Elephas maximus indicus: one gene and its partner. The protein of the gene in region 1 purifies or fractionates together with the protein of each later gene. This does not show direct contact. Links are inferred from orthologs where the notes say so. Each region holds a gene or a part of one and is shown on either strand. Other genes may lie near its edges.

Region 1 (12,152 bases):
AGGCGAAATTAGGACATTTCCAGATAAACAGAAGTTTAGGGAATTTGTAAAAAGCAAACCAAAACTACAAGAAATACTAAAGGGAGTTCTTTGGTTAGAAAATCAATAATATCAGGTATCTGGGCAGAGCAAGCAGATGTCAACTTAGACAGTGAAGATAAAAAAAAGATTAAAAAATGCTCAAAACAGGGAAACAGCAATGTTATCATGTAAAAGCATACAACATTAAAAAAAAGAGGGACTAAGAAATGTAGTCATAGATCTTTCATATGGCAAGGAAGACAAGGCGATACAAAGAAATAAGTTGAAATTTAGAAAAATGGGGTAAATATTAAGGTAACCACAAAGAAGACAATCTATCCTACATATGAAAATACAATACGAGAAAAAAATAGAGACTCAGCAGAAACAAAATCAACAACGAATATGAGAAAAACACAATATATAAACTACTCAGCACAAAAATTTAAGGGGGGAAAAGAAACTGTCAACAACACACAAAAAAAGATATCAAAATGATAGCACTAAATTCATACCGATCCATAATTACGCTGAATGTAAATGGACTAAATGCACCAATAAAGAGACAGAGAGTGGCAGAATGGATTAAAAAACAAGATCCATCCATATGCTGCCTACAAGAGACACATCTTAGACTTACAGACACACACAAAAAACTCAAAGGATGGAAAAAATATATCAAACAAACAACAATCAAAAAAGCACAGGAGTGGCAATGTTAATTTCTGACAAAATAGACTTCAAAGTTAATCCACCATAAAGGATAAGGAAGGACACTATAATGACTAAAGGGACAATATACCAAGAGAATATAACCATATTAAATATTTATGCACCCAATGACAGGGCTGCAAGATACATAAAACAAACTCTATCAGCATTGAAAAGTGAGAGAGTAGGAGACTTCGACACACCACTTTCGGTGCAGTCCAGAAAGAAGTTCAATAAAGAACCAGAAGATCTAAGTGCCACGATTAACCAACTTGATCTCATAGACATATACAGAACACTGCACCCAAGACCAACCAAGTACACTGTCCTTTCTAGTGCACCTGGAACATTCTCTAGAATAGACCACATATTAGGGCATAAAGCAAAGCAGCAGGATCCAAAACGCTGAAATATTACAAAGCATCTTCTCTGACCATAAGGCCATAAAAGTAGAAATCAATAACAGAAAAAGCAGGGAAAATAAATCAAACACATAGAATCTGAACAATACCCTGCTCAAAAAAGACTGGGTTATAGAAGACATTAAGGATGGAATAAAGAAATTCATAGAATCCAGTGAGAATGAAAACACTCCCTATCAGAATCTTTGGGACACAGCGAAAGCAGTGCTCAGAGGTCAATTTATATCATTAAATGCACACATACAAAAAGAAGAAAGGGCCAAAATCAATGAGTTATCCCCACAACTTGAATAAATAGAAAGACAGGAACAAAAGAAACCTTCAAGAACCAGAAGAAAGCAAATAATAAAAATTAGAGCAGAATTAAATGAAATAGAAAACAGAAAAACAATTGAAAGAATTAACAAGACCAAAAGCTGGTTCTTTGAAAAAATGAACAAAATTGATAAACCACTGGCCAAACTGACAAAAGAAAACAGGAGAGGAAGCAAATAACCTGAATAACAAATGAGATGGGCGATATTACAACAGACCCAACTGGAATTAAAAGAATCATATCAGATTACTATAAAAAATTGTACTCTAACAAATTTGAAAACCTAGAGGAAATGGATGAATTCCTAGAAACACACTACCTACCTAAACTAACCCAAACAGGTAGAACAACTAAGTAGACCCATAACAAAAGAAGAGATTGAAAAGGTAATCAAAAAACTCCCCCCAAAAAAAGCCCTGGCCAGGATGGCTTCACCTGCAGGGTTCTACCAAACTTTCAGAGAAGAGTTAACACAACTACTACTAAAGGTATTTCAGGGCATAGAAAAGGACAGAATACTCCCAAACTCATTCTATGAAGCCAGCATATATATCCCTGATACCAAAACCAGGTAAAGACACCACAAGAAAATTACAGACCTATCCCTCGCTATGAGTCGGAATCGACTCGATGGCACTGGGAGACAGACTGGGATCCCTCAAGGACATAGACGCAAAAATCCTCAACAAAATTCTAGCCAACAGAATTCAACAACATATCAAAAAAATAATTCACCATGACCAAGTGGGATTCATACCAGGTATGCAGGGATGGTTCAACATTAGAAAAACAATTAACCTAATCCATCATATTACATTATGGACAAGAATCACATTATTTCATCAATTGATGCAGAAAAGGCATTTGACAAAGTCCAACACCGATTCATGATAAAAACTCTCAGCAAAATAGGAATAGAAGGAAAATCCCTCAACATAATAAAGGGCATTTATACAAAGCCAACACCCGACATCATCCTAAATGGAGAGAGTCTGAAAGCATTTCCCCTGAGATCAGGAACCAGACAAGGATGCCCTTTATCACCACCCTCATTCAACACTGTGCTGGAGGTCCTAGCCAGAGCAATTAGGCTAGATAAAGAAATAAAGGGCATCCAGATTGGCAAGGAAGAAGTAAAAGTATCTCTATTTGCAGACAACATGACCTTATACACAGAAAACCCTAAGGAATCCTCCAGAAAACTACTGAAACTAAGAGTTCAGCAGAGTATCAGGATACAAGGTAGACATAAAAAATCAGCTGGATTCCTCTACACCAATGGAAAGAACATCGAAGGGGAAATCACCAAATCAATACCATGTACAGTAGCCTCCAAGAAGATAAAATACTTAGGAACAAATCTTACCAGAGATGGAAAAGACTTACACAAAGAAAACTACAAAACACTTCTGCAAGAAACCAAAAGAGAGCTACATAAGTGGAAAAACATACCTTGCTCATGGATAGGAAGACTGAACATTGTGAAAACGTCTATTCTATCAAAAGCGATCTATAGATTTAATGCAATTCTGATCCACATTCCAACGACACTCTTTAATGAGATGGAGAAAAATCACCAACTTCTTATGGAAGGGAAAGAGCCCGGGATAAATAAAGCATTTGTGAAGAACAGAGACAAAGTGGGAGGCCTCACTCTACCTGATTTTAGAACCTATTATACCACCACAATAGTCAAAAACAGCCTGGTACTGGTACAACAACAGACGCATAAACCAATGGAACAGAACTGAGAATCCAGACATAAATCCATCCACATATGAGCAGTTGATATTTGACAAAGGCCCCAAAGCAGTTAAGTGGGAAAAGACAGTCTTTTTAACAAATGGTGCTGGCATAGCTGGATATCCATCTGCAAAAAAAAAAAAAGAAATAGGACCCATACCTCACATCATGCACAAAAACTAACTCCAAATGGATCAAAGATCTAAATATAAAATCTAAAACGATAAAGATAAGACTGTATAAAGCTCTCAGATGAAGTTCATCCTCTGAATTAGATTTCTAAATACATCTCTAGCTGAGCACCATGAATGTAGTAAAAAGGCGCTGTTATTGTTGTTTAGTGCTGTTGAGTCAATTCTGACTCACAACGACCCTCTGTACAACAGAAGGAAGCACTGCCCAGTCCTACGCCATCCTCACAATTGTTGCTATGTCTTAGCCCGCTGTTGCAGCCACTGTGTCAATCCATCTCATTGAGGGTCTTCCTCTTTTTTGCTGACCCCTCTACCAAACATGATGTCCTTTCCAGGGACTGGTCCTTCCTGATAACATGTCAGGCACTCCTTAGAACTGCGGGTTTAAGGCACTAAGGAAGTGTGACACTTAGTTATGAGCTTACACTATGGGTCAAGCACTGTGCTAGGACCAGAAGTAACACTGAGCAAGAGAACTACCATGGGCTGCTGGGTAGTGTGAAGGGTTAAGCACTCAACTAACAGCTGAAAGGTTAGCAGTTCAAACCCACCCAGAGGCACCTCGGAAGTCAGGCCTGGTGATATGCTTCCAAAAAAGTTACAACCTTGAAAACCCTATGCTGCAGTTCTACTTTGCACACATGGGGTCGCTATGAGTGGAAATTGAGTAGAAATCAACTCAATGGCATCCAACAACAAGAGAACTACCATGCCTTCCTCCACCTAGCAGAATATGGTGGGTAGGCTGTGGAACCCCATGGATGGCCTAAGTTCAAATCCTAGATACCTCACTTACACCTTGTGTGACCTGTGACAAGTTACTCAAGGGCTCTTTGCCTCACTTTCATCATCTGCAAAATGGGAATAAGAATACCTACCGTCTAGAGTTTTACAAAATCCTTAGAAAAGTGCTGGCACATAGTAAACACTGAAAAATTTTATCTCTTGTTACAACTGTTGGGACATAATTATAAAGAAATAAATGGTACCAGCTCGGGGAGAAAACAAAGAAAATAGTTACAAAATTATATCAACAAATGCAAATACACGATATAAACCTGAAAACCAAACCTGTTGGCTGTAGAATCTATTCTGACTCATAGCGACCCTACAGGACCAAGTAGAACTGCCCCATAGGGTTTCCAAGAAGCAGCTGGTGGATTTGAACTGCCGACCTTTTGGTTAGCAGCCAAGCTCTTAACCACTGTGCCACCAGGGCTCCATACAATATTAAGTGCCAATCAAAGTGCTCTACACAAAATAATAAAGAAATGAGTCTTTTGAAGAATGTGAGGCATGATTAGCAAAAAAAGTAGAGGTAAAGCAATCCAGGTAGAAACCAAACCGAAAGTTTGAAAAACTTCCGTTGATATTTTATAGTACCTCTGCCAGAACTCAGTAAGGACAGACAGATAATACTGGCCTGGAAGGACAGTCAGAGATTTTCTCTCGTTATTCAAGTAATATTTCTGAAATAGCTTGACAGAAGGACAGAGTTAGTAGCTTCTACTTTTTTTTTTTACTTGCTTCTCTTTGTTTGGACTTGGGTTGGTCTCCCCGTGAAGCCTCCAAATTGCGTCCCCACCTTCTGTCTGAACCCAATTCTCCACTAAGGTGTTAGAATGATGTACCTAAAACCAAATATGATTATACCGTGGCTTTATTTAGAAACCTTTTCATGGCAGTCCACTGCCTACTGGATAAAGCCTCAGTTACTTAGCAACACATACAAAGAACCTCAGGATCATCCTAATCTACGTTACCATCCGTCTCTCCTACCATTCCCCCAGAGACAACAGATCACTGCATTCCTTCAACAGATCAGGTCCAAAACCAAAAACCAAACCCAGTGTCGTCGAGTCGATTCCGACTCATAGCGACCCTATAGGGCAGAGTAGAACTGCCCCACAGAGTTTCCAAGGAGCGCCTGGTGGATTCGAACTGCCGACCCTTTGATTAGCAGCCGTAGCACTTAACCACAACGCCACCAGGGTTTCCACAGATTAGGTACCAGCCTCTATTTTCACATCTTAATACCTCAAAACCAACTCTTCAGCCTACACCACGTTCGATTCATTATATTCTGTCCAATTATTTGTCTGTCTCTCCAGCATCTAGGCTGAGTCGTGAGCTTTTTCACGTTAACCTTCTCTAGGTTTCCAAAGGCCGCAGCTAAAGAAACCCGGCAGCGGTGCGGTCCCTCAGGTCGCCCTGCCTGCTCTCCGAGCCCCGTCCGCCCCTGAGTCCCGCCAGCCCGCGCTCCCTTTTCTCTCAGGCCGCATTTCCTCAGGGTGGACCGCAGTTGAGATTAAACCGTTTAGATGCGGTGAGGGAGAGAAGGCCGAGCACTCCCGCCCTGGACCTTGAGCTCAGCTCCGTCCTCCAAGAGTCAAGGCCGAGGTGGGGTGAGAGGACGAGAAAGCTCAGTCCGTGGCCTCGGGCCAAGGAGCCTCGGGCCCGCGTGCCTCTTACCACAAACACGGCCACGGGAATCCCCAGGTGGAGCCGCCGCCCATTCCCTGTGGCCACTTCTCCGAGGCCACAACCGTCCTTAGCAGCCGCCATCTTGGGGAAGCGTGTGCGGCCAGGCTCCAGACTAACTGCCTCCCAGGCCGCCGGCCCGCCTGAGGGCCGTGATTGGCTCGCCAGGCCCTGTAAGCCCGCCCCTTTCCCGTGAGTCTGCTCAATAATCGGTGCGCGGAAAGTAGCTACTCTTCGCTGATTCGCCCAACCTGTGGGTGCTGATTGGCTGCCCCCAGAGTGACAAGCGTGGAGGCGGCAGCCTAGGAGCGGCTGAGGGCTGCTGGAAGGACTAATTTCGACCCTTGGGTAAACGGGTCTCGGGGATTTTATGGGTGCGTTTAGGGCTGGAGAGCCCGGGAATCGGGAACCAGCCTGGACTACACTCCACCCCAGAACAGGCAGCATGCTCCAGAATGGCATCCCGTTCGACCCTGTCTCTTCTCGGACAAGATCTAACTTGGGACCTAGACGCTTACCATGGGAGTTTGGCCTCTGCCCCTTTCCGGTCTCACCATACAGGGAGCTTCCTGCTCCATGGAGGGGACTTAGCTGGTGTCTTATGAAGTGCAGCCGCTGGCCTGATTCTAGTCAATACTACCCCCATCGTACCAACCTTTCCCGAAAACCGCCTTTGTTCAGAATCTCATAACCCCAGCTCAAAGGTTTTCCAACTTCATAATCTCTGTATAAATTCCTGAGAATTCTACCTACACTCCTAGGCCCACAAACTTCCCCAGCAACGTCCTGCACTACAACACATTGAAAGAAAGAGCTTTATTTTTTGAAAACAAGGAATTCTTGGGTCTCTTTGCTGACATCTACCTACCATGCTTTGTTCTTCCCTTTGCTTTCACTGGAATGCTTCCTGAGGAGCCCTTCACCCCCTCAGACACAGTCTACCATGAATAAGGGATAAAAGCCTGTCCCCTTCCTTAGTGGGGACACATATACGTAATAATGATAAAAACCTGTTGCCATCGAGTTCGACTCATAGTGACAGAGTAGAACTGCCTCATAGGGTTTCCAAGCAGTGGCTGGTGGATTTGAACTGCTGCCCTTTTGGTTAGCAGCCCTAGTGCTTAACCACTGTGCCTGTGCCACCAGGGCTCCAATAATAATACTGGCTAACATTTATTAGGAAGCTCTGGTGGCGTAGTGGTTAAGTGCTATGGCTGCTAATCCAAAGGTCAGCAGTTCAAATCTACCAGGCTCTGGGGCAGTTCTACTCTCTCCTATAGGGACTCGATGGCAACGGGTTTGTTTTTTTTGGGTGAACATTTATTAAAATCTAACTGTGTACAACTTAACAAAAAGACAACCCAATCAAAAAAGGGTAAAGGACTTGAACGAGCATTTCACCAAAGAGGATATTCGAATGGCCAACAAGCACAAGAAATGATACTCAACGTCATTAGCCCTCGTTACCATTGTTGTTAGTCAACTCGGCTCTGTCTCACAGCTACGTTGACTGGTCCTGCACCATCCTCACAATAGTAGGTATGTTTAAGTCCATTGTGGCACCCACTGTGTCAATCCTCTTCCTCCTTTTCACTGACCATCTACCAAACATGAATGAAGTCCTTCTCCAGGGACCTGGTCCCTCTTGATAACATGTCCAAAGTAAGCGAGACAAAGTCTCACCATCCTCGCTTCTAAAGAGCACTCTGGCTATACTTCTTCCAAAACAGATTGGTTTGTTCTTCTGGCAGTCCATGGTATATTCAATATTCTTCACCAACGCCACAGTTCAAATGCATCAATTCTTCTTCAGTCTTCCTTTTTCATCGTCCAGCTTTTGCACGCACATGAGGCAACTGAAAAGACTATGGCTTGAGTCAGGTACATCGTTGTCATCAAAGTGACATCTTTGCTTTTTAAGATTTTAAAGAAATCATTTGCACCAGATATGCCTAATGCAATTGCAGGGCAATAGATTGCTTTTATATGGCCTTTCTCACCATGGTTTTGTAATTCCCACCAAATGACAGGGCGGGAATATGCAAATGATGTGCTTGTGGCCCACCAAGGGGACTGGATAGCTTGCTAATAATGTAAATAAGGTGCATGGCACCCTTGTGGGGCTGGAATCATGCAAATAAGGTGTATGGAACCCTAACAAGGGGATTGATCAGTTTTGCCATTCTGCCAGCCTTAAAGGGTGTCTTAGTCATCTAGGGCTGCTGTAACAGAAATACCACAAGTGGATGGCTTCAACAAACAGAAGTTTATTCTCTCGCACGCTGGTAGCCTAGAAGTTCGAATTCAGGGTGTCAGCTCCAGGAAAAGGCTTTCTTTCTCTGTTGGCTCTGGAAGAAGGCCCTTGCCATCAATATTCCCCTGGTATAGGAGCTTATCCATGCAGGAACCTTGGGTCCAAAGGACATGCTCTGCTCCCGCCACTGCTTTCTTGGTGGTATGAGGTCCCCGTTTCTCTGCTCACTTCGCAAGAGAGATTGGCTCAAGACACAATCTAATCTTGTACATTGAGTCCTGCCTCGTTAACATGACTGCTACTAATCCCATCTCATCAACATCATAGAGAGAGAATTTACAACACATAGGAAAATCACATCAGATGACAAAATGGTGGATGATCACACAATACTGGGAACCATGCCAAATGGATACACATATTTTTGGGGGACACAATTCAGTCCATGACAAAGGGACACATGGAGAGATGGAGAGAGGAGCTGTAACATGGAAGACAGCAAGAGATGGTGGCTTGAGGTGGCAGGAATCAGGAGACTGGTGCAAGATGGCTTCAGTGGGGTTTGTTTGGTTTTAAGAAGTCTTCAGGGGATATTTTTGGTTTAAAGTTTAAAAATTATTTCAGGGCAATATTTTCCGGGGATCATCCAGCCTCCATGGCTCCAGAAAGTCTGGAGTTTATGAGAACTTTAAATTCTGTTCTACATTTTCCCCCTTTTGATCAAGATTCTTTTATAGAATCTTTGATCAAAATATTCGGTAATGGCAGCCGGGCACTATCCAGTTCTTCTGATCTCATGGCAAAGGAGCAGTTGTTCATGGAGGCAAAGGAGCAGTTGTTCATGGAGGCAATTAGCTACACATTCCATTTCCTCCTCCTGTTCCTGACTCTCCTTCTTCCTCTGTTGCTCTAGGGGAATAGAGAACAATTGTTGTGCCTTGGATGCCTGCTTGCAAGCTTTTAATCTTTTGATTTCTTGACTACTGCTTCCATGGGCCTTGGTTATTGACCTAAGTAAAATAAAATCCTTGACAACTTCAACATTTTCTCTGTTTATTGTGATGCTGCTTATCGGTCCATTTGTGAGGATATTTGTTTTCTTTATTTTGAGGTGTAATCCATGCTGAAGGCTGTAGTCTGTCAGTCCACCATCTGGAGTCAGTGTCTCATACTGTGGTGGCTTGCATATTGCTGTGATGCTGAAAGCTATGCCAACAGTATTTCAAATAACAGCCAGACCACCCCTGATGGACAGGTTTCAGTGGAGCTGGGAGACTAAGATATTAGGGAAATGCAAATCGAAACCACAATGAGCTATCATCTCACTTCCATTAGAATAGCAGTGATCAAAAAAACAGAAAACAACAGGTGATGGTGAGAATATGGAGAAGTTAGAACCCTCATCCATTGCTCGTGGGAATGTAAAATGGTGCAGCTACTGTGGAAAACAGTTTGGCAGTTCCTCAAACAGGTGAACATAGAACTACTATATAACCTAGCAACCCCAATCCTAGGCATATACCCAGAAGAAGTGAAAGCAGGAATGCAAACAGAAACCTGTACACCAGCGTCCAAGCCAAGGGGCCCTGGCAGTAGGACTGTTGTTTTTGTTAGGCGCCGTTGAATCCGTTCCGACTCACGTTGTTGTTGTTCTTAGGTGCCGTCGAGTCAGTTCCAACTCATAGCGATCCTATGCACAACAGAACGAAACACTGCCCGGTCCTGCACCATCCTTACAATTGTTGTTATGCTTGAGCTCATTGTTGCAGCCACTGTGTCAATCCAACCTCCTTGAGGATCTCCCTCTTTTCCGCTGACCCTCTACTCTACCAAGCCTGATGTCCTCCTCCAGGGACTGATCCATCCTGACAACATGTCCCAAGTATGTAAGACGCAGTCTCGCCATCCTTGGCTCCAGGGAGCATTCTGGTTGTACTTCTTCCAAGACAGATTTGTTCGTTCTTTTTGGCAGTCCATGGTATATTCAATATGCTTCGCCAACACCACAATTCAAAGACGTCAACTCTTCTTATTCATTGTTTTCCTTATTCATTGTCCAGCTTTCACATGCATAGGATGCGATTGAAAATACCATGGCCTGGGTGAGGCGCACCTTAGTCTTCAAGGTGACATCTTTGCTCTTCAACACTTTAAAGAGGTCCTTTGCAGCATATTTGCCCAATGCAATGTGTCTTTTGATTGCTTGACTGCTGCTTCCATGGCTGTTGATTGTGGATCCAGTTAAAATGAAATCCTTGACAGCTTCAATCTGTTCTCCATTTATCATGATGTTGCTCATTGGTCCAGTTATGAGGATTTTTGTTTTCTTTATGTTGAGGCGTAATCCATACTGAAGGCTGTGGTCTTTGATCTTCATCAGTAAGTGCTTCAAGTCCTCTTCACTTTCAGCAAGCAAGGTTGTCTCATCTGCATAATGCAGGTTTTTAATGAGTCTTCCTCCAATCCTGAAGCCTCATTCTTCTTCATATAGTCCAGCTTCTCGGATTATTTGTTCAGCATATGGAGTAAATAGGTATGGTGAAAGAATACAACCCTAACGCACACCTTTCCTGACTTTAAACCAATCAGTATCTTCTTGTTCTGTCCGAACAACTGCCCCTTGATCTATGTAAAGGTTTCTCATGAGCACAATTAAGTGTTCTGGAATTCCCATCCGTCGCAATGTTATCCATAATTTGTTATGATCCACACAGTCGAATGCCTTTGCATAGTCAATAAAAACACAGGTAAACATCCTTCTGGTATACTGTGCTTTCAGCCAGCATCCGTCTGGCATCAGGAATGATATCCCTGGTTCCACATCCTCTTCTGAAACCAGCCTGAATTTCTGGCAGTTCCCTGTTGGTATACTGCTGCAGCCGTTTTTGAATGATCTTCAGCAAAATTTTGCTTGCGTGTGATATTAATGATATCGTTCTATAATTTCCAGATTCAGTTGGATCACCTGTCTTGGGAATAGGCATAAATATGGATCTCTTCCAGTCAGTTGGCCAGGAAGCTGTCTTCCATATTTCTTGGCATAGAGGAGTAAGCACCTCCAGCACTGCATCTGTTTGTTGAAACATCTCAATTGATATTCCATCAATTCCTGGAGCCTTGTTTTTCGCCAATGCCTTCAGAGCAGCTTGGACTTCTTCTCTCAGTACCATCGGTTCCTGATCATATGCCCCCTCTTGAAATGGTTGAACATCGACTCATTCTTTTTGGTATAATGACTGTGTATTCCTTCCATCTTCTTTTGATGCTTCCTGCGTTGTTTAGTATTTTCCCCATGGAATCCTTCACTATTGCAACTCGAGGCTTGAATTTATTTTTTCTTCACTTCTTTCAGCTTGAGAAATGCTGGATGTGTTGTTCCCTTTTGGTTTTCCATCTCCAGCTCTTTGCACATGTCATTGTAATAGTTTACTTTGTCATCTCGAGCTGGCCTTTGAAATCTTCTGTTCAGTTCTTTAACTTCATCAATTCTTCCTTTTGCTTTAGCTGCTCGACGTTCGACAGCAAGTTTCAGAGTCTCCTCTGACATCCATCTTGGTCTTTTCTTTCTTTCTTTTCAATGACCTCTTGCTTTCTTCATGTATGATGTCCTTGATGTCATTCCACAACTCGTCTGGTCTCCGGTCATTAGTGTTCAATGCGTCAAATCTATTCTTGGGATGGTCTCTAAATTCAGGTGGGATATATTCAAGGTCATATTTTGGCTCTCATGGACTTGCTCTGATTTTCTTCCGTTTCAGCTTGAACTTGCATATGAGCAATTGATGGTCTGTTCCACAGTTGGCCCCTGGCCTTGTTCTGACTGATGATATTGAGCTTTTCCGTCGTCTCTTTCCACAGATGTAGTCAATTTGATTTCTGTGTGTTCCATCTTGTGAGGTCCATGTGTATAGTCACCGTTTATGTTGGTGAAAGAAGGTATTTGCAATGAAGAAGTCGTTGGTCTTGCAAAATTCTATCATTTGATCTCCGGCTTTGTTTCTATCACCAAG
Region 2 (12,261 bases), on another chromosome or scaffold:
GTAGTGTCCCTGGGCACCCTGGCCCAAGTGGCAGGAGTCGGAGCGCCAAGAAGGTGGTATCAGGACATTGTGAAGAGCGGGCCCAGAGGGCCCCCGAGATCATGAGGACTATCCCAGAGGAGGAACTGGCTGGCAACCAGATGGAAATGAGCTTTGAGATCCTCAGGGGTTCAGATGGGGAAGATTCAGCCTCAGGTATGATGGCAAGGGTGCAGGGTAGAGAGTGAATATATTTCTTGGGGGCTGTTCTGGGACTAAAGCTGAAGAAATTACTGGTGCCAATGGCAGTACAGAAAGGAAGTTCTTTTGCTGGCTCTGAGGAAATGGCTCCAAAAGGGAGAACAAAGGGGATGGCAGGAGAGAACTCTGTGAAACAGTCATATTCTCTCCCCAGGTAAGAAGGCACCAGCTCCAGGACCTGATGCAGCCGTAGGAGAATGTGAGGTATTGAGACGGGATTTCAGCAAGGAGGAGCTGCCCACTCCGTGCCCAGACAAGAAACGCAACAAGGACCTCGGCCCTCGTCTCCAGCTCCCCTCAGCCCCTGTAGCCATTGGTGAATATGCTGACCCCTGAAGATTGGTCCCTTGGAGAGGGTGCACCTCTAGGTCTCTTGATCCCAATGCCTTTCCAGTCTGTCCATGCATGGTTCTGGCTTTGGATCCTAGTCTGGAACTGGTAGCCTTTGAACCTGGGTCTGAGTCTCAGCACTCTCACTCTGCTGGCTGTGCACAAGTCACTTCACATCTCTGAGCTTCTGTTTCCTTAACTGTAAAATGGAAGTGATATCTACCCACAGGGTTTTTGGGAGGATGGAGTAAGTTGACCCATGGTAAATGGTAGCTGCTGCTTTCATATGGGAGATAGGGATTCCTTCTTGGAAAATTCCTGTCAACTAGGAAGAAGGGGATTCATCTGTAGAAGTGTTTTGACTTACCTCTAGGTCTCTCCACCCTGGATTCCATCTGTGACTCACTGAGCCTTGCTTTCCGTGGGGTCAGTCACTGCCCTCCTAGTGGACTGTATGCTCACCTCTGCCGCTTCCTGGCCTTGTGTCTGGGCCACCGGGATCCCTATGCCACTGCCTTCCTTGTCACCGAGTCTGTCTCTATCACCTGTCGCCACCAGCTGCTCACCCACCTCCACAGGCAGCTCAGGTGAGTGCCCACCATCCCTAAGGCTCCTACTAAGAGCAGAGGGACCCAGGTTGGGACAGACTGGAGGAGGGTCTCGATTTTGAAGGAGTGGGAAGCTCACCCCTACCTGTATTGCTTGCAGCAAGGCCCAGAAGCACCAAGGATCACTGGAAGTGTCAGAGCAGCTGCAGAGGCTAAGCCTCCAGGAGAAGGCTGGAGATGTCCCCCTGGCCCACATCCAGCGCCTCTTTTCCTTCAGAGCTTCGGGATCTGGCCACTTTCCCCAGCCCGAGAAGGAGAGTTTCAAGGAGCGCCTGGCTCTGATCCCCAGTGGTACAGTGGCAGGCTTCTGGCCTGCTCTTTTATATATCTCCTTCCTGAGAAGTTGGATAAAGGTGTTTAAGGCATTAGTTAATTTATGATCCTTATGGAAAGACATGTCATACCTTTTCCTGTGTTCGTTATTTTGTATCTCTCACCAGACATCTTAAATCTGGAAATCTTTTCCTTTTTTAAGCCTCAACTTTGAGTTATCAGCAAATTCAGTGTCTTCAGGGGTGAGCTCAGCTGTCTGGTGTCTCCCTGCTGTAATATGAAATGCTTAACAGATGATTTGAGTGCCCTACTCTGTGCAAGGCCCTTTGTTAGTTGCTGTGAGAGACACAAAGAACTCCAAACATGGTCTCTGTCCACAGGGAGCTGTTAGGGCAAGGGAGAGCACCTTGAACCCCACGGCAAGGGAAGACTTCGTGCATTATCTCGAGTGTTGGATAGGGATTAGTACAGAAGCCAGAGAAGGGAATTCTTTGCAACAGCTGAAATAACTTGGGGTATGTCCTCTGTGTCAGGGGTGACTGTGTGTGTGTTGGCCCTGGCCACCCTCCAGCCTGGAACTGTGGGCAACACCCTCCTGCTGACCCGGCTGGAAAAAGACAATCCCCCGGTCACTGTGCAGATCCCCACTTCCCAAAGCAAGGTAGGCTTCCTGGGCCAGGGGACAAAGTAGGGCTGGCGTGGGTTTCTGGTCAGGCTGCTCAGGCTCTGTGGCTGGGGCATGGAGAGATGGCAGTCATGCAGACAAGCAGAGATCTCATGACCCTGTCTCCCAAAGCTTTCTCTGAGCTCAGCCCTAAAGGAGTTTGATGCCATCCAGAAGGAACAGAAAGAGAACAGCAGCTGTACTGACAAGCGAGAATGGTGGAAGGGGCGACTCGAACTGGATCATAGGATGGAGGTGTGTGCCCCCAGGGTGGGGTGAAGGCAGACCTGCCCTAGGAATGGCTCAGGGGATGCCAGAGCGTAGTTCTAATCTGATACACATGGGGTCACCATTAGTCAAAATTGACAGCAACTGGATTTGGTCACATTTGTCAAAATAGAGTGACACCATGTCAGAGTCCCAGCCCCTGGTTTCTTACCTTCTATGACTGGCAGAAAGATATACAAGACAAATACACACATTGGAAAACTCATTTCTTTCCAGAATGCTGGTACCCATGGGGAAAGAAACTTAGCTTCCTCTCTGACTCAAGATTCTGTTCTCCCACCTTCAGGTTCTCATCACTTCCCTAGAGAAGTATGTGTTGGGCTGCTGGCGGGGGCTGTTGCTGCCATCCAGTGAGGACCCAGGCCTTGGCCAGGAGGCTTCCCATTTAGAGGAGTTGCTGCAGGAATGTGGCTGGAAATATCCCAATCCCACTCTGCTGAAAGTGAGTTAAGAAAGCAGGGAGGGGAAGAAGCAGTTAGCCTGCGGACTTAATTCTCTTCCACTAGCAAAAAGGCCACTGTGAGTGGGTGATGGCACCCACTAACCACTGTTCCCCTGCAGATCCTGCTCAGCGGTGCCAGTACTCTCACCCCTCAGGACATTCAGGCCTTGGCCTATGGGCTGTGCCCAGCCCAGCCGGAGAGAGCCCGAGAGCTCCTAAGTGAGGCAGTGGGACATCTACAAGGTCTGACAGTGCCAAGCAATAGGCACCTTGTCTTGGTGCTAGATAAGGTAAGGAGCTGGAGGAGCAGATGGACAATGGGTGCTGTCCCATCCCTGTGCGCCTTCTGCCTGTTATGTATACCTGGCTGGGGACAGTAACCTCTGAGTACTTTTTGCCCAGGACCTGCAGAAGCTGCCATGGGAGACCATGCCCAGCCTCCGGGCACTGCCTCTCACCCGTCTGCCCTCCTTCCGCTTTCTACTCACCTACTCCATCATCAAAGAGGTGAGGCTCAAGGTGTGGAGCTGGGGATGATTGGCTACTGGGGGAGACCTGAGGCAAGACACAGGCAGAATGCTCTAGAGACATGAGTGGGCCTTAGGAATGCGTCAGAAATGGAAAGGGGCTTGGAGCATGCCGGAACTTGGGCCTACTGGCCAGACCAGTATCCTGATCACCAGTGTCTCCTCCTCAGTCCGGGGCCTCATCAGTGCTGAGCCAAGGCGTGGATCCACGTAGCACCTTCTATGTCCTGAACCCTCACAATAACCTGTCAAGCACAGAGGAGCAATTTCGAGCCACTTTTAGCAGGTCAGAGGGGTGAGAGTAAGAAAGGCGGGTGGGAAGGGTAGAGACAACATGTCCTTTTCTCCAGAATTTTGCTGTAGTCCGCCTTCTACCTAGCGTCCTCTTTGCTTCATGGCCCCTGCCATGCCATTCCCTGTTCTAACTGCTGCCTTTTCCCTGCAGTGAAGCCGGCTGGAGAGGGGTGGTTGGGGAGACCCCAAGCCCGGAGCAGGTGCAGGCGGCCCTGACGGAGCATGACTTATATATGTGAGTGCTCAGAGAGGGGGAGATGCGGGGAGGGGCATCCCAGGAGGGGACCACTGTGGTTTGCCTTGGGGCAGAGACACGATGCTGGTAGGTCAAGGCTCATCTCTCCCCTTTCTACTCTAGCTATGCAGGACATGGGGCTGGTGCCCGCTTCCTAGATGGGCAGGCTGTCCTGCGGCTGAGCTGCCGGGCAGTGGCCCTGCTGTTTGGCTGCAGCAGTGCGGCCCTGGCTGTGCATGGAAACCTGGAGGGAGCTGGCATTGTGCTCAAGTATATCATGGCTGGCTGGTGAGTCTTGAGGGGCAGGCCCATCCTGGGGCGTCAAGACTCCTGCTCCCACTCCACCTTCTTTCCCAGCTTTGAACCCTGAACCTACCTCTCTTATGCTCTACTTTCTTCCTGTCTTAGCTCCCTGGTATGCCAGGACTTTTAACCCTTAGAACTCTGGGCCAAGGGAGTTCCTCATTAGTTCAGCCCTCTTTACTTACCCCATACACACCCAATCATGTTTTCCTATGTATTCTCTTTCAGAGCCCTTACTTTGTATTTCTTCCCTTCTCTTCCCAGCCCCTTGTTTCTGGGTAATCTCTGGGATGTGACTGACCGTGACATTGATCGCTACACGGCGGCTCTGCTGCAGGGCTGGCTTGGAGCAGGTCCAGGGGCCCCCCTTCTCTACTATGTCAGCCAGGCCCGCCAGGCTCCCAGACTCAAGTATCTTATTGGAGCTGCACCAGTCGCCTATGGCTTGCCTGTCTCTCTCCGGTAACCCATTGGAAGTGTCGTATCTCTGACAGAAGCCATGTGACTATTCTATCTCCAAACTTAGATTAAACCATTAGGCTAAATATTTTAAGTGATTTTCCCCGCTGTTTTATATGAAACATTTCCTTTCGACTTAATATAATAAAGATGTTATTTAAACTCTCTTTTATGCAACTCGTCTTGAGAACATTTAAAGACAAGATTACTGCCCCACTCCTACTATGTGGTATGTGGCACTTAAGTGAGTGGGAACAGATTGCAGGAATTCAAGTCTGAGAGCCTTGGGAAGACAAAGCCATTGAACAGCTGGTTTGGCCTGGCCTCAACAGACAGAGCTGAAGGAGAGAAGTGCATCAAAATACTCTTCAGTGGGGATAGAGGCCCAAGGGTAGAGATAGACTCACTGAGAGCATCTTGGCCAGTTACCATCATGTCTATATCCTGGGAGTGACACTAGCTTTAGTCCTCAGTTGCCCTGCCCCTCTCCTAAGTGGATATTAGAGACTAGCTATTCTCTTCTGAAGGTGCAGCTATTACACTTGGCAGTGCCATGTACTGTAGCAGCAGATTGTGTGTGGAATTCTGCTTATGGACTGTAAGCTCCTCTGAAGCACAAATAGCATTTTACATTCCATATATCCCTCCTAACTTATGTTTATCTGTATGTTAGCTGCTATTGAGTCCACTCCAACTCATGGACAACACGTACAACTCATGTACAACAGAACAAAATATTGCCTAGGCTTGTCATCCTCACAATCACCAGCATTTTCAAGTCCATCGTTGTGGTTATTGTGTCAATCCATCTCACCAAGGGTTTTTCCATCACCTTTGCTGGCTCTCTGCTTCACCAAATATGATGTCCTCTTCCAGTGACTGATTGATCCCTCCTGATGATGTGTCCAAAGCGAAACAATCAGACAATATTCTGTTGTGATCCATAAAGTTTTCCTTGTCTAATTTTCAGAAGTAGATCACCAGGCCTTTCTTCCTAGTCTTTCTTAGTCTGGAAGCTCTGCTCAAAACTGTGCACCATGGCTGACCCTACTGGTATTTAAAATACTGATGGCATTGCTTCCAACATCATAGCAACATGCAAGCCAGCACAGTAAGAAACTGGATGATGGATGCCTCATACAACACATGGTAAAATAGATTGCATTAATCAATAAACTCTGCTGTACTTGTTGGTTGACAATGGTACCTCCTTACCGTTCTCTCCGCCTCCAGACTCATATTCATTTGTCCAAAGAACTTGCTCCTTGCCTATCAGTCACTACCACCCACGTGGAGTAGCATACATTACGTTGCTTTCCAATACTGTGGTTTTAAGACCCGGCAGTGTTTTCATTCTGTTGTACACAGGGTCGCTATGAAACGGAATCAACTCAACAGTACTTGTCTTATTTTTAAGTTCCTGGATGGCAGGAGTCTTGTTTGCTACAACTTTACTGAACTAGGTTTAGGTTTCTTTATAGAATGAGCGTCGTTAACTTCTCTAACCAAACGGGAGCGCCGGAGAGGTGGCAGTCCCTCCTTCCCTTCCGAGACGGAGGATCATAGAGATGTCCGGCGCAGCGAGGCCTCCCGGCGCAGCCATAGAGATGTGCAGTGGACGCCTAGAGCGTTGCCGGCGAACAGGCTTTCCCTTCGTTAGTCCTTCCCAACATGGCGCAGTCGGTTAATATCACGGAGCTGAATTTACCGCAGCTAGAAATGCTGAAGAACCAGCTGGACCAGGTGGGGACGGGCCCCTGAGACGCCCCTTTTCCGCCTCATATCTCCCCTGCCCACACTACTCCCTCGCCCGCATTCCTCCCCAGTTTGGAAAGCTTCCGTTCCCAGCCGAAAGCCCCACCGCGTCCCAGGTGCCGCCCCCTCCCCGGCCGTGCTCCCCTCTTTCTCAAGCCCCTGTACGGACCCTGTTTCCCGTTATATGCAGGAAGTGGAATTCCTGTCCACGTCCATTGCCCAGCTCAAAGTGGTACAGACCAAGTACGTGGAAGCCAAGGACTGTCTGAACGTGCTGAACAAGAGCAACGAGGGTATGGGTTAGGCGGGTGAGGGCAACCTGAGGAATGTGGCAAGCCGGCTTCTCCTCTCGTACCACCTCCTAATCTAGTTTTCCTTACCTGAGGGAAGAAAACAATCCATTACATATTGTATACTGCTTCATGAACCCTTTGCATGTTGCTTAGCTAGAGCTGCCCCTGTTTCTGTTCTTTTCATTCTTTCTCTGGGTGCTGTGCCATGTTTGAACTCCCTTTAACGTCTTAACGTTGGAGCTGCCAACTTTCCCCAGGTGTTTGTCTTTATTGCTTTCACAGGGAAAGAATTACTTGTCCCACTGACGAGTTCTGTATCCTTTCGGCAAGAACTGCTCTCCTGCTTTCTCCTTTCCTTCCCTCTGGGGAACAAAAGGGGGGAAGGTAATTTTGATTATTCCACGGTCCCCCATGATTTTGAGAACACCCCTCTTATTATACACACTTCCCTTTTGCTGTTTGAAGATATTAATGTAATATGGAGATAAAACTGGGGGTTTACACTTTGGCTAGTAAACTAGGTAGAAGACACGAGCAATAGAAGAATAGGATATAGAAACTGTTCCTAAACTGCGGTCGCTAAGCAACAGGGATTGTGTCCACCTGTTGAGTGTTTTACTTGCATGAGCAGGTTATGGTGGTACAGCGTTTGTAATCTGTAGTCTGAGAACTGACAGGCTAAAAGAACTGCTCTCCTGCCTTCTTCCTTTCCCCTGGGGAAAAAAGGGCCGGAAGGTAGTTTTGATTACTCCACAGTCCCCCATGATTTTGAGAACACTCCTCTTATTATACACACTTTCCAGCTCCCCTATCTAACTTGGGGCCAACATCCAGCTAACAGCTTGTGAGTACCAGGGAGTACATAGACTTGAAGTGTGATAGCACTGTAGTGAAGGGCTAGCAGTGTAGTTGGGAATGGTTAAATAATGAACATTAAATCCCTTAGGAATTATCTAGTCCATGGTTGGAGATGTTAAGGAAAAACAAGGCTGACTTTTCACTTTCACTACGCTAGAGCAGTGGGAAAACATTGTGTCTAGACTTTCTGGAATAGCTAATATGAAGTCTTAATGAAAACTGCTTGGAGGGTGGGGGATGGGGTCAGGGCAAGAGAGTGTTCCATCTTATGTCATTTTCTCCATAGGGAACCAACTTTTCTCTGTCTTTCCCCATCTGGAGTTTAGAGGTATAGTTCTCAAGCCTCTAGATTATTCAGTACCTGTGTCTCAGCATTTTAGAAAAGAAGTGTCTTAGGAGGTCAAGTAGGCTGGCTGACAGGGAACCAAGGGTAATGCTAGGCTAGTTTTTCCCTTAATCCTTGCTTCTCAGATGTATGTCCCTGGGAAACTACATGATGTGGAACATGTGCTCATCGATGTGGGAACTGGCTACTATGTAGAGAAGGTGAGCTGGAGGAAACGTGGATGCCCTTCTAAACAGGGAAATATCTAAGGTGCAGCATGAGGTCTGCTCTTATCCCCCATTAACCTCTGACCTATGTAGACAGCTGAGGATGCCAAGGACTTCTTCAAGAGGAAGGTAGACTTCCTTACCAAGCAGATGGAGAAAATCCAGCCAGCTCTGCAGGAAAAGCATGCCATGAAACAGGGTAAGCTTGGCCTGGGGCACCTCCTGACACTGTTTTTGACCTCCATGGTAAAGAAGTGGATTGCAGGGTGAATCATGGGTGTGTTCCTTTTGCTAAATTAAAACCATGTTTTTGTATCTCTTTCTGTGGTGCTTTCACGTATCATTCTTTAGATCTGTGTTACTCTTTCGACCTATGTACCCACTATTTGTAGATCCCTGGTTGGGTGCTTGAGAAATTTGGAGGAAGGAAATCATGTCTGTGTTCTTGTGGAGCTCCTATCTAATTGGAATAGAATGGCAGGAAAGAAACATAGCCCAAACTAATACTAGCAATTGTAGCCCTGGCTGTGCGTTGAATCACCTGGGAAGTTTAAAAAGCAAGCCTGGGTCCACTCCCGGCCAACTAAATCAATCTCTGGGAATTGTTCCCAGGGGTCAGTGTTTTTTAAAAGTTCCCCAGGTGATTCTGTTGCAGTCAGGACTTAGAACTACTTCTAAAGGCAAAAATCTATCACATTATAATTTTCTGGTTATGTCTGACTCATTAAAAAATAGCTTTGCTCATTCGTTAATGTATTGATGACTTAACACATTGTAGGATCTGAATTTGTGTTACTGTGTGTCTCCCACAGTGGATCACTGTGTTAAAAACTTTATTAACAAACTGTAAATAGTGGTCTGCCTTCAAACCTGTCATTTTTCCTTACCTCTAGGTTAGGTTCTGACCAGGGTCTTACTCTTCCTTTTTCGTCCACAGCTGTTATGGAGATGATGAGCCAGAAGATTCAGCAGCTCACAGCTCTGGGAGCAGCTCAGGCCACTGCCAAGGCCTGAACTTGTTGCAGAAATAGAGCGGAGGGACCCTGCTTCAGGGGCCTGGGACTCTGTGGGCATGGCTTCTTAGGGCGGGGGCGGGGGTCTCGTCGAGCTTGTGTTTAACGCTAATAAAAGTGCCAGCTGGCCAGAATGTTTTTGTTTTTGCATTAATCAGGGACTAGGAATGGGGTGGTCCAGTGGGCGAGGTAAACCGAGGTGAAGCGGAGTGTATCTTGGCGACTCCACCCAAGGGGCCCTTCGAGGAGCTGAGAGTCTGTGCTGGCCCGCGAGTTCTTGCCAGGCCTGTTGCCGTGGGAACGGCCGGCAAGCGGAAGTGGGGTCGCAAGGGAACTTCCTATTCCGGGTCGGCGCCCCGCTTCCCCGCCGGGGGATCTGCATGGGCCACCGCTTCCTGGGCCGTCTCGTACCGCTGCTGCAGCTGCTGCCGCCCCTGCAGGCTCGGCGCCGCATGCTCGGCCCAGTGTCTGTCCCGCCCTCCAAACGTCCCCGTGGCGACTTCATGGCACCACCCCGAATTGGGACGCACAACGGCACTTTTCACTGCGACGAGGCGCTGGCATGCGCGCTCCTTCGCCTCCTGCCCGAGTACCGGGTACAGTCCCACAAAACTGATCCTGGTCCCACCCAACTGCCTCCGGGGCGCCCCAGCCCGTTCCTGTCACAGGGTCCCTCGTAGCTCTTCAGCGGCCCGAGCACCCTGCCTCCCCCGGAAACCCAACGTTAATCGTCTGCCCGCGCGACTCCGGCAGCCTCCTCATCTCCTATGTCACCCGCAGGATGCAGAGATTGTGCGGACCCGGGACCCGGAAAAACTGGCCTCGTGTGACATAGTGGTGGATGTGGGTGGCGAGTACGACCCTCAGAGACATCGATATGACCATCACCAAAGGTGGGTTTCCGGATCCCATTTCCTTAACCTCCTTGACTTTATCTTCCCTTCGTGCTCTGCTTTAGCTGTCCATTACCGTGGTCCCTCTCAGCAGAGGGAACTGCCTTATTGAAATCAAACTCCTTTGTCTCTCTGGGACTATAGCCTTCCATCCATCCAGCTGCCTGCCCTTTACCCATCTACCTGTCCTTGGACTTCCCTGACCCCTCAAGTCAGCCCACATCTCCCTAGGCTTCCCAGCAGTCAGTCCCTCAGGCCCCTCCTGACTTACCTCCTTCTTTGGCTTAGGCAGGCTTTTCTCCCACCAGCACAGCCATCACCCCAAGTAATACCTTATCTGGATTAATCCATTCTGCCTTTGCTGCCCCGTATCAGGCTGGTTGGGCCCAGTAATTGTGGACGCAGGATGGTTCGGATGTGTATACTCTCCTACTTCACTTAGACTCTTCCACTGGGAAATCTTTCTTGTCCGAGGGTAGTCCATTATCCGCATTGCCATTCGATCCTTTTTCCCTCTCTTCAAGCCCCTATCTCATTAAACTCCCTCCATGATTGTCCCTGCCTCCTGCTTAAAGAAAATTGAGCTTTTCCTTCATGGACTCCTCAGTTTCCCACTCCTGAACACCCTCAGCCTCCTCCTTCCAATTGAAGCAAAGTGTCCCCTTCTGTTGGAGGTCAGTCCTTTGCCCACGTTTCTGTTACTTTGTCCTCTGGGACTTCCTGTCATGATTCTCCGACCAGTGTTTTCTACTTTTTCTTCTCTGCTGCCTAAAACTTTGCTCAAGCATCTCCCATCTTGAAAACAAAGAACTGAATTTTAAAAAAAGAAAGAAAACCCTCTCTGAGGCATTATGATGATGTTTTAGGTTTTTTTTTTTTTTTTTAAACACTACTTATTACTTTTATAAATGGTGTCTGGAGGGACGTGTCCCTCTAGTTACAGTCTAATCGCTTGCCCTCATTTCTCTAAGCTACTCTTTTTACTCTTCAAAAGAATACCTGACCCTGGCTCCACCTCTTCCCATTAGATTAATTTCCATCCCCAGCCTGCTGCAGTAGTTTTTACCTTGTCGCTCCATTGGAACTGCTCATGGAAAGGGCACCCGTGGCTTCCACACCAAACTAGAGTTGCCTCAGGGTGTTACCTTAACTGACCTTTGTGGGGCACTTGTGGCACTCCTTTTTGCCCCCCCCCCTTTTTTCTTATAGTTCTTTTTTATATACATTTTAACATAGAAAAACCAAGCCCACTGCTGACAAGTCATTCTGACTCAGGCACCCCGTAGGGTTTCCAAGGCTGTAAATCTCTGCGGAAACAGACTGCCACATCTTTCTCCTGAGGAGCAGCTGGTGGTTTCGGACCACCGACCTTTTGGTTAGCAGTCGAGTGCTTTAACCACTGTGCCACGAGGGCCCCCTAATTTTGACATATCTAGAATATAAAACATAAGATGGTTACCTATGATCTTATGTCCCAAACTAAGAACTAGAACATTACCATTACCTTTGCCTCTGTACCTGTGTACTTCTTCCTGTCGCGTTCCTTGCCCCACCCCAAGCAAGCAGTATCCTGAATTTTGTATTCGTCATACCTTTGTTCTTGGGTAGTTTTAACACATGTGAGTCTTTCCATAAACAACACATTGTTTGGTTTTGCTTGTTTTTGAACTTTACCTGGGGGGTTATTATATCACTAGTCTTTATACCAGATGTATATTTTATAATTAATTTTTTGTATTTACTCAATAGTTAATCAAAATCATTAAAACAAAAGTGAGCTCCTTAGGTGTTTCTGATGGACTGGTATCTGGAAATCACAGCGGTAGTTTCTGCTTCTTTACCACATCTGTCACACCTATTCTCTGTTCCACTGCTGTTCAAATTCTGCTTTCCTCACTCACCTTCATCATCGCAGGTAATCTCTTCCTGCATCCATTCTCCACGCTGGCTGGCACAGTCCTTTTTCGAACATGCACTTGCCTGCTAAAAAATCCCTCTGTGGCTTCCCATTAACCTACAAATAAAGTCCAAGCTTGTTAGCATGGCATCCAAGGCTTGCCGAGATCTGGCCCTGCCTGCCGTTACAGCTTTATCTTTTGCCACCTCCTTCTCACACCCGAGCTGGCTTTCGTGCAGTTGCGTGAAGAGACCTGTCTCTTAGCCCTTGCACATTTGTTCCCTCTGCCTGGAATGCTATTTCTCCTTCACCCCGTGTCTGTCTGGTGAATACCCAC

What was found.
Region 2: the proteins of VBP1 (region 1) and PFDN5 purify together in Homo sapiens (affinity purification with mass spectrometry; 7 studies listed by BioGRID and IntAct, counting the BioPlex papers as one, with this or other methods). This does not show direct contact. The link is inferred for Elephas maximus indicus from reciprocal best matches to the Homo sapiens genes VBP1 and PFDN5.

Annotation. Positions count from the first base shown.
Region 1 is NC_064846.1:781,954-794,105, forward strand, and holds the start of VBP1 (prefoldin subunit 3), read right to left. Parts: upstream 6,005-12,152; 5' UTR 5,973-6,004; coding exon 5,880-5,972; intron 1-5,879. UniProt on the Homo sapiens protein: Binds specifically to cytosolic chaperonin (c-CPN) and transfers target proteins to it. Binds to nascent polypeptide chain and promotes folding in an environment in which there are many competing pathways for nonnative proteins.
Region 2 is NC_064822.1:108,805,174-108,817,434, forward strand, and holds PFDN5 (prefoldin subunit 5), read left to right. Parts: upstream 1-6,298; 5' UTR 6,299-6,334; coding exon 6,335-6,406; intron 6,407-6,608; coding exon 6,609-6,711; intron 6,712-6,993; coding exon 6,994-7,025; intron 7,026-8,040; coding exon 8,041-8,115; intron 8,116-8,214; coding exon 8,215-8,320; intron 8,321-9,058; coding exon 9,059-9,135; 3' UTR 9,136-9,235; downstream 9,236-12,261. Other genes in the region: ESPL1 (separin), read left to right, coding at 1-195, 395-556, 944-1,157, 1,279-1,469, 1,985-2,112, 2,248-2,370, 2,690-2,845, 2,965-3,135 and 5 more; MYG1 exonuclease, read left to right, coding at 9,515-9,730, 9,915-10,027. UniProt on the Homo sapiens protein: Binds specifically to cytosolic chaperonin (c-CPN) and transfers target proteins to it. Binds to nascent polypeptide chain and promotes folding in an environment in which there are many competing pathways for nonnative proteins.